Cricetulus griseus: one gene and its partner. The protein of the gene in region 1 purifies or fractionates together with the protein of each later gene. This does not show direct contact. Links are inferred from orthologs where the notes say so. Each region holds a gene or a part of one and is shown on either strand. Other genes may lie near its edges.

Region 1 (5,426 bases):
CCGGAACTTAGGTTTTTGAGCAATGACAGATTCAGAGAGGCTCAAGGACTTGCCCAAGGATGGCCACAGAGTCTATGGGATTCTTTCCCAAAGCATTCAGTCTGTCCTGGTTGGGCCAGGGCATCCTCCTCCCCGCCCTACCAAGCTCCCAAGGTTTCACCTGTGAACCGACATCAGCTCCTCCTTCTCAGCAAACCGGGCCTAGAGAGACATAAGGAATAAAGGGCTAGAGTGCAGGCCATGCCTAGGTCCTGCCAGTTCCCTGCCCACCACCCGAACACTGGTGGGTAGAGGTTCACCTGAAAGGACACACAACGGTCCAGCAGGCTCTCCAGGATCAGCTGCTCTTTGATGGCATGGAGCCGCTCAGGGCATTCAGGGAAGCTGGGGAGGTGGAGATGCAGTCACACATACAAAGAAGCAAGACACTGGGGAGCAAATCCGCTCCAGTAACCTCTGCAGCCCCCTACCCCCATAGCTGCTCACTCCTTACCCGTGGCACCAGCCTTTCTTCTTGTCATTCCCGAAGCCTTATACTTTCGTCCCCACTTCCATTTATGCCACCAGAACCTCCAGTCTGAGCTGTCTGTCACATCACCTTGTCCAGAACCTCCCTGCTACTATACTTACTCACCTAACAGTCCCTTCTGTATACAGCAGCCGGTGGTGAAAATTCTACTACTCAAACCCTTTTGTAGCTCCTACTCTGTTTACAGTTGGCATCAAAATATTTATCATACCTAGAAGGCCCTAAAAAAATCTATCCTCATCCTTTTTCTGAGCCTAATTTTTCTTTCTTTCTTTCCTTCTTTCTTTTTGTTTTTTGAGAAAGGGTTTCTCTGTTGTAGCTTTGGAGCCTGTCCTGGAAGTCACTCTGTAGACCAGGCTGGCCTCGAACTCACAGAGATCTGCCTGACTCTGCCTCCCGAGTGCTGGGATCAAAGGCGTGTGCCACTGACTAGCCAGCCTGGCCCTATTTATCACATGCCTCCTCTTTCACTGTTTTACCAGCAGTGGTCTCCTTGGTCTTCAACTGAACACATACCTTTCAGCCAGGCCCATGGACTTCAACGCCTTTTGCCTAGAACACTCTTTTCCATAATGACTCCATGGCTCACTCCCTTAATGCCCTCCTTGTAATTTTATTCACATCTCAGCAATGCCTTCCCTGGCTGTTGTATTAAAAAACGGAAGCACCCCATTCCACTCAAGCTTTACTCTCCTGGCCACCTTAGTTCTTCTGGATAGCGCTGTTCTGACACTCTTCCTGATGACTTTTGAAGGCAGGTTAGTTTACTGCTGCATCCCTAGCTCCTCAACAGATGCAGACAGACCATAAACGGAACCTTTTAACACCATTAGTTCATCTTTGGTCACCATACGGGAGATAGCTACTATATTTGTAAACATCAGTGTAATGATTAACAGACAATGGCAGAGGCTAGTGAAGTATCTAAGATCAGATGGGAGAGAGGTACTGGCCAGTGAAAGGCTTTTGTGAGAGTCTCAATAGTTGGGAAAGTTGAAAGAGGGATCAGTCAAGGGTAAAGACCCATGGCTAGAGGGTGCCTGGCATGCTGTAAGAACAGTCAGGAGACCAGTGTGGGTGAAGTGAACTGAAGCAAATGAGGAAAGAACTGGCTGAATAGGTCACTAAGGGTGATGTGAAGCCAAGTCACGTGGAACCTTGGAGGCCAGGCTAAAGAATTCAGACTTTACCTTAAGAGCTCTGCCCTTGAAGTATTTTAAGAATGGCTTTACTGTGGAGGTTGGAAGTAGGAGACCAGTGAGGAGAAGTCAGATAATATATTTTGAACATAGAGACAAAAGGAATGAGCAGATTCTTAAGTATGTTTTGGCATAAACGTCTCTACCTCAAGGAAGGCTCTGGGACTCCAAATGCAAGCTACTCCAGGGCTGTCTAATAAACACCTCTGGCCAAGTGTGGGAGCTCATGCCTGTAATCTCAGCACTCAGGAGGCTAAGACAGGAAGATCCTCAAAGGGTTGACACTGGCTTAGGCTAAATAGTGAGTTCCAGGAAAGCCTAGGCTATAGAGTCAGATTTTGTCTCAAAACAAAAACAAAAACACATGAATTCCTAGTCACTTGGTCCCCGTTAAAAACTTCATAATGCTGTTGGCTGTTTAATAATCTCCCCTCATACTCACCAATCAGCTGAGCAGGGGCTTCTCCATTTTGTTCACATATATCACCAACTCTTGGCACACAGTAGACACTTGATATATGTGTTGGTTTAAAGAGAACTCTTTCAAGAATGACCCCCACCTCCCTAAATCATCTGCTTCCAGACTACAGGCTCCAATAAGAAAAGATTCACTCTTGCTTGGGGGAGAGGGGAGCAGAGGTACAAATGTTCTACTTTGGGGACAATCTAGAGGTCCCAGCCTCACCTGTCATCCCAAAGGCAGTGGAAGTCATTTAGTTGTTCATCAAACACCAATCCAGTACCAACCGATAATCTTGTCTCAGGGTTCAGATCCTGCAGGGGGAAAGAAACACAGATTCATTCAGAGCCCCAACACAGAAAACACTGCATAGTGTCTAGGGTGGGGAAAATAATTGTTTTGTTTGGTAAAGAAGGCCAAACTGCAGCCAGGCATCTCTCACCAGCCCTTGAAGCCCCACGATCAGGTCTTCTTCAACAGCTTGGCTGAGCTTCTTCATTTTGCCTTTCTTCTTTACCTCTGCTAGATTGGGGCTGGAGTGCATCGCAGTACCCTTCTTAACACCCCGTTTCTGACAATCAGAGAGAAGGATCAGAGTCTGGACATGGCTGGCTGGCTTTCCCTCCCCCCTCATCAGCGCGCGTCTGGGGCCTCACCAAGGTGGCGCTGGAGTCCTGGGGGGGCGACTGAGGATTGTGCCTACTCCTTCGTTGTTTGGTAGAAGAATCTTGGCCGGTGGAGGTCATGGCTGAAGGGCCTTTGGTCCTGGCACGGGTCTAACAGGGGTGTAGTTGACGGTGAAGCCCCAGGAGTGTCCAGAGGACCCCACATCCTTGCCCCTTTACAGGCCCCGCCCCTATTCTAGATCGCATCCTTCACGCTGTTCCATTCCTGTGCATTCTAAACCCCGCCCCTCAAGGCCATCTTCTGCCATAGAGGAAACCTGGTCCCCTGAAGGCCATCTTCTGCCACAGAGGAAACCTGGTCTCGTCCGCCCATTCCCCTGGACCTCGCTGGTTTTTATACGATTCTCCTTCATCTTGCTTTTGCACTCAACAAGGTAACCCCAGGCTCAATCTGGCTCTTTTAAGACCTACCTGCCCTTTCCAATCACCGCTCCCCACCTCTCTACTTTCCACACCCTTTCATACCGCTAATCCTCGCCCGGAACGGTTGGCTTCTGCAACCTGTCCTCTTCAGCCTATCTCCCAGGTTAGTCAACGACCCTTCTAGTCCGCCAGGCCAAGCAGAGGCGGCCTCGGCACCACCCTTAAAGACTACACTTAACTCCACCTCCTATAGGGCCGAACCCGCACCTTCCACACCCTCTGATCTCGCCCAAATCCTTTCACTGTGCCCCCGCTGCTCAGGGGACTGCCCCTTTCGATCAGAATCCATTAGACCCCACCCCCTTCTCAGATGCCTAACGTTTAACCAAGCTCCCTCCGCCAGCTCTAAGCCTCCGCCCCCTCCCCGCCCGGCCATAGACGTTAGCCAATCCTTTCCCCCACTACTCACTGGGCGCATCCTCTTTCTCAAACTCCGCCCTTGACTCGCACCGCCAAATTCCCGGCGACCTGTGTGGCCCCGGGCACCTGATTCCTTCTTTTCCATTGGGCTGAGCGTTTTAATTTGCCCGCCCACGTCCAGCCCACAGCGCGGATCCCCAACTCCTCAGCCGCACACCACACCTCTCGCGAGCTCACCAAACTGACTACCGGGTAATACTGCGCCTGCGTAAAGTGTGACTCACTGGTTCGAGACCCGGATCTGCCCCTAGCGCTACCCTCCCCCACCTCCCCACCCCCACTCCCATCCACTGTTCTCGCTCTGTTTGCTATGATTGCCATTCTCAATTCCAGGCCAGTCATCATAGGAGCCCTACGGACCGGCATCGGTTGTACTGTGCAGTGATTCGAGAGCAAATCAAAGAAGCCAGGGCGTTCAAAAGGGATTCCTGCGCTGCACTTGGCGATGACGTAACTAGGGCAGGCAGGTGACTGGTCCGAGATAAAGGCTAATAATAGACTATTGACTAGTAAGGACTGTGGCTGCTGGCAGCCACAATGAGAGTGGGATACGTGTTGAGAATTTTCTCAGTTAGTACTCACTACGGTAGTACTCAAGCATCTCCATGTTAACTATTAACATTCTGCGAAAACGGGTAGGGGCGCGGAAGGAGTCGCTAAGTGGCACATGTTGCCAGAAAGCCACACTTCTGTAATATAGTTCGCATTGTTAAGGCTGCGTTGCAGAGGGACTTAGACATATGATTTTGGACAAGTCACAGCTCTGCCCTCAGTTTCCTTATCTGGAAAACTGTGATGCTGGTACCAAGACCAGAATGGACTTGGGAAGGATGTTTTCCTGGATGGCAGCTCAATCTACCTGCCCCCTCCACTGAGTAATCAAAGTAATAGCATGTGGTGGACTGGAGAGGGAAAATTGTCACTGTGACTCTTTGGGACTTCCACTCTGTGTCTAAGTTTCAGTCCCACTAGAGGACAATTTGTCCTCCTGATCGCCCACTCTCTTCCCTTCCCATTTCCTGCTGGGCTGTATGCTGAAGCTAGAAAGAAACCTTCTGGGGTTCTACATCACTGACTAGCAAATAGATTAACAGTCCCCAAATCCAGTAGCCAGAGCTTCTGACCCCCTTGCAAATGCCAGTTTTAGTCCCCCGAATTGCCTTAAGGGCTATGGGTCTAAATCTGCATACACTAAAGAAAATACATAATGATACATAATAAAGAACATTCTGGGGTGTGATACCTACAGAGCAATATATTAAACAGTGAAGTCTCATTTCCTGTACAACAGGAGTCAGTAAAATTTTAAAAAGGGCCAGATAGCAAATAAAGGCTTTGCAGACACATGTAATCTTTTTGTTTGTTTGTTTGAGACAGGGTTTCTCTGTTTAACAACCCTGGCTGTCCTGGAACTTGTTCTGTAGACCAGGCTGGCCTCGAACTCACAGAGTTCCACCTGCCTCTACCTCCCAAGTGCTGGGATTAATGGTATGTGCCACCATGCCCAGCATATTTTATTTATTTTGTCTGTGTGTTTGCCAGTGCCTAAGGAGGCCAGAGAGGGGCACTGGATCCTCCAAGAGCTGAACTTCCAAGTGTTTGAGCCATTTGATGTGGGTGCTAGGATTCAAGCATGGAGCCATCTCTCTAGCTCAACAACCATGAGGAACTGTATTAAAAGATTGTAGCATTAGGAAAGTTGAGAACCA
Region 2 (4,697 bases), on another chromosome or scaffold:
TAGCCCTGGCTGTCCTGGAATTCGCTCTGTAGGACCAGGATGACCTTGAGTGCTGGAATTAAAGGTGTGCACCACCACTGTCTGGCCAGATGGTTTATTCTTTACCAACCCCCTGGTGTGCTAGATTATAGGGACACACTACCCAGGCCAGGTGCTAACAAAGTACGACTTTCTAAGCCAGCCAGCATCCCCTGCAGCCATCAAGTCACATGGTTTTCCAATTCTTTCTGGACAAAGAGTAAGCGCATGTACTTGGTTTATATTAGCTAACCATTCTCAAATGTCCTTGAACATTATAGCTTACCTTAAACTCAATGATAAGACGTCCCTTTTCATATGGCCGACGATATATTGGCATACCTTCATTTAGCACACATTTTATATCTCCATGCTTGACAATCTGACCTAAAGACATTGATGCCAAATTCATTCTTAAGTATGGTCAACATTTGCATAAGGCACCCCCCCACAGACGAGAAAACCAACAACCATGTTGTCTTGAGGTATCCAACATTCATCCAGGCCCTCGCTATAATTTTGTTTCAGCCCTAGGAAGGACATAAGCAAGGAAAGGACACTTTTTCCTCAGAAGTCCAAACATGAAAACAGGCTCATCTAGTTGTACCTGGATGAGAAGTGATGACTATGGTTCGGTTGTCAAGAGTGGATATTGGCTTTTGGAAGCCGCACAATGCTTCAACCAGCTGTATGTCCATACACATGAAAAGATCTTCTCCTCGTCTATAGCAATATAAATAAAAGGCATAGTCACATATTTCAAACCACCAAATGACTACACACCACAGTGGGCAAACTTATCATTTGGAAACCAAACAACTGAAAGCTGAGATTAGCAAATTATTTGGAATTGGCCAGCTGTTTGCTGAATAGCCTACAAAATTCAACCACAGAGCTGGGTACAATGGTGTATGTTTGCCTATATTGCCAGCACTTAAGAGGTAGAACACAAAGGGCAGGAAGACCAAAGCTGCTTAAACCTACACTCCCCACACCCTGGTTTTTTGAGACGGGGTGGGAATGGGAGGGGTTTCTGTGAAAAAACAAACAAAAAAAGGCTCTGGCTGTCCTGGAACTGATTTGTAGGATGGCCTTGCACTTACAGAGATCTAAGGTTAAAGGTATGCACCACCACTGCTAGCTAAATCTGGTACTTAAGAGGGGAAGAGAAAAAAAGACCCCCCCCCCAAAAAAAAATTGAGGCTAAAAGAAGCCAACACACATTTGGAACACAGGAATCAGTGCAAATTGCAAATTGAAAACAGACCTGGGTTAGATCTTTACTTAGGCCAATTATGACTATTTAAGTGATAGTAAAAAGTTCTTTGCTAAGAATATATTAAGTATTATGCCTTAAGTTAACTTCCCCAACTCTGAAATCTTTTCCAATACAGAATATACACCTGCCACACCTCCAAGTTGAGTTTGGAAATCTTGTGCTTCAAGATACAAATTCAGTACAGCAGACTTGAATGTGTACATATACTTAAAGAGTCTTAAATTGTAGTTTTTTATTCAAAGTGTTTGGGTATTTACACATAAAACAACTAAACTCAGCCAGGCATTGGTGGTGCACACCTTTAATCCCAGCACTCTGGAGGCAGAGGCAGGCGGATCTCTGAGTTGGAGGCCACCCAGGTCTCCAGAGGGAATGCCAGGATAGCCTCCAAAGCAATACAGAGAACAAACAAAAAACCCAAGAAAAAAATCAAAACTCAGCATGAACTAAGGTGAAAGTTATTACTTTGAATTGACTGTCCTGAGACTGAAGGGGTATTATCCAGCCACAGAAACAAACAGAAACAGGCAAGAAGTTAGTTTGAGATTAAGTCTTTACCGTGTAAAAACAGCATGGTCCTTCTGGTCTAACACAATGATAATATCTCCTGGTTCCAGTCCTGGTTCTTGGTCTCCTTCACCATGGAATGTTATCTTCTGACCATCTTTCATGCCTAAACACAGATTGATTTTGTACTTTTACTGATATTGGACATGAAGGTCAAGATCATAAAATCTACTAAAATACACATGTGGTCTGAGAATGTAATCCAGTGGTATAGCATATGCTGAGGCCCTGGGTTCAATCCTCAGTACAATTCCTGCAAGACATCCTTCTGGCCTCTACATGCACAATTTTTTTTTTTTTTTTTTTTTTTAAGCATCCTCTTTGTGGATGAAAGATACCACAGAAATGGCTTAAAAGGACTACTTTTAAGGCTATCAAACAGTAGAGGACACAATTCTCTACAAAGAATCAGGCCCTTTATACTTAGCTGCATATCCATCCTAAGTCTCAACTTTCCCAAAGAGACATTTCATTCAAGCTACTGAGGATTAAAAATGCCCACGCTGGAACCAAATTGGCAACTGGCAAACACTATAGCCACTAACTGTTAATTATTTCTATTGTGTAACAATCTGTAATTACTACCATTAATCTAAGCAGCAGTGTCAATTGCCTTTTTTGTTGTACCAGCAGTATTTCTCATAAGAAAACTGTTTACTTAAGTAAATTCATAATTAAGTATTCTTTCCTTGAAGCTTCTTCCCTTCCACTCTTTATTATCTTTCCTGTATCATGTTCATTCTGCTCAAAAACTAAAGTAAAAATTCATCTTTTTCGATACATAGCTCTGTAGTAAGTCATTACCCAGTACCTAGACTTACTAAAAACAAAAAGGTGTTAGCCAGGTGGTGGTGGCTTTAATCCCAGTATGCAGAGGCAGACAGATTTGAGTTCAAGGCCAGCCTGATCTACAGAGTAAGTTCCAGGACAGCCAGTCTTGAAAACCCAAAAAAAGATTGTTTACTATTGGATACTATCTTAGTGGTCCATATACAAAATACTGAGTATTTTTCAATATAGCACTTTTTTTTTTTTTTTTTAAAAATGGTATGTTTATTGAAACTTCTACCTGCTTCTAATTCTGCCCCACATAGTTTAATGAAGTTTTCCCCATCTCTTTTCTTTTGGTGTGCTGTATACATGTTCATGGAGGCCAGGAGAGGTGGTCAGATATCCTTTGTCCACCTAGGCCACAAGCCCCAGTGATGTGGTCTTCACCCCCTAGACCTCCATGGCAGGAGTATACAGACTAGTATATGGCCACACCTAGCTGGAAACCCCTTTGGTGCTGGGAATTTGAACTCAGGCCCTCATGCTTATTATACCATCAGTGAGCCCAGGGACCATGTTTGGGGGGCAGGCTTAAGATCCCAGCACTAGGGAGGCAGAAGTAGGCTACATACTGAAACTTTGTTGAAAAATGTTAAAAACCGGGGCTGGAGAGATGGCTCAGTGGTTAAGAGTAGTTCAATTCCCAGCATCCAAGTGGCAGCTCACAACTGCCTGTAACTCCAGTTCCAGGGGATCCAACATTCTCATATAGGCAATACTCCAATGCACATGAAATAAAAATAAATTAATCATTAAAAAAATGTTAAAAAACGTAAAAACTGCCCCATGTTGCCACTGAAGGCTGGGCGGATGTCATGGTCTATGCTACAACCTGAAGCTATGGCCATGTACATGATCCCAGCTGCATCAGAGGGCCTTGTCTGGGCCCACAGCCCTACTGTAACCAGGAGCCCTGTTAATATTCTGTGCTAACGCCACAAACCACGTGAAAGCCCATGATCCATGCCCCCAAAGACCACAAAGAGCAAATAAGCTACACTGGCAGTGAGAGGCACAGTTTAGAAAGGAACATGGAAAACTTCTGTGACAACCTCTACCCCTTTCCCCAGTAAGAGCCTAACCAAGAAGCCACTGAAAAGAAAAAAACCGTGGTAAGATGCTGAAGTGTCACTCTATATAACAGGTGGCCTTCAGCAGGATTGCAAGGACTAGATTCTATTTATGGGGAAGGTCATGGACAGGAAAGACTGGGAAGCAAATGGGATAGGGGTATAGGGTATATGAGGGGAAATTCCCAAAGAATTGATAAAACATCGGTGAAAACTATTTTTTTTTGTCTTTGAAGACAGGGTTTCTCTGTGTAGCCGTGGAACCCTCTCTGTAGATCAGGCTGGCCTTGAACTCAGATCTGAGTGCTGAAATTAAAGGTGTGTGCCTTGACCTCCCAGCCCCAAACCCCATTTTTACTGTATTCTTTTAACTTGAATGTGAATTTAACTGTACTACCCAGCTGTAGTCCCAACACTTGGGAGATGGAGGCAGGAGGACCAAGAGTTCATGGTCACCCCTAAGTACAGAAGTCCCACTCTATCTCAAAATAACAAACAAGTTATTTAGCCAAAGGACAGAGTGAGGCCAGCCTCGGCAAAATCCCCATCTCAATAGAAGAAAAAGAAATTTTTATTAAGCTGAACCAGAAAAAAAGGACTGATATGCACACATATTCCTTTTGTTTTTCGAGACAGGGTTTTTCTGTGTAGCCTTGGAGCCTATCCTGGCACCCGCTCTATACATCAGGCTGGCCTTGAACTCACCCAGATCTACCTGCCCCTGCCTCCCAAGTGCTGGGATTAAAGACGTTCCCCACCAATGCCTGGTGGGCACACACATTCTTTAAAGATGTGTTATACTAGGTGTGGTTACATGGGAATGTAACCCCTGCACATGTAAAAAGCCAGAAATCTATATTTTAATGAGCCTATTCCTCACCTCACATACACCCATTTATGTTATTCCTTAATTCCTAAGAATGTGCACAGTA

The links.
Region 2: the proteins of Hdac6 (region 1) and Dnaja1 purify together in Homo sapiens (affinity purification with mass spectrometry; 4 studies listed by BioGRID and IntAct, with this or other methods). This does not show direct contact. The link is inferred for Cricetulus griseus from reciprocal best matches to the Homo sapiens genes HDAC6 and DNAJA1.

The regions. Positions count from the first base shown.
Region 1 is NC_048604.1:114,416,588-114,422,013, forward strand, and holds the start of Hdac6 (histone deacetylase 6), read right to left. Parts: upstream 3,596-5,426; 5' UTR 3,505-3,595; intron 3,499-3,504; exon of another isoform or gene 3,340-3,498; intron 2,965-3,339; 5' UTR 2,935-2,964; coding exon 2,845-2,934; intron 2,760-2,844; coding exon 2,631-2,759; intron 2,503-2,630; coding exon 2,414-2,502; intron 385-2,413; coding exon 300-384; intron 202-299; coding exon 161-201; intron 1-160.
Region 2 is NC_048595.1:101,868,342-101,873,038, forward strand, and holds part of Dnaja1 (dnaJ homolog subfamily A member 1), read right to left. Parts: intron 1,971-4,697; coding exon 1,856-1,970; intron 742-1,855; coding exon 626-741; intron 406-625; coding exon 305-405; intron 1-304.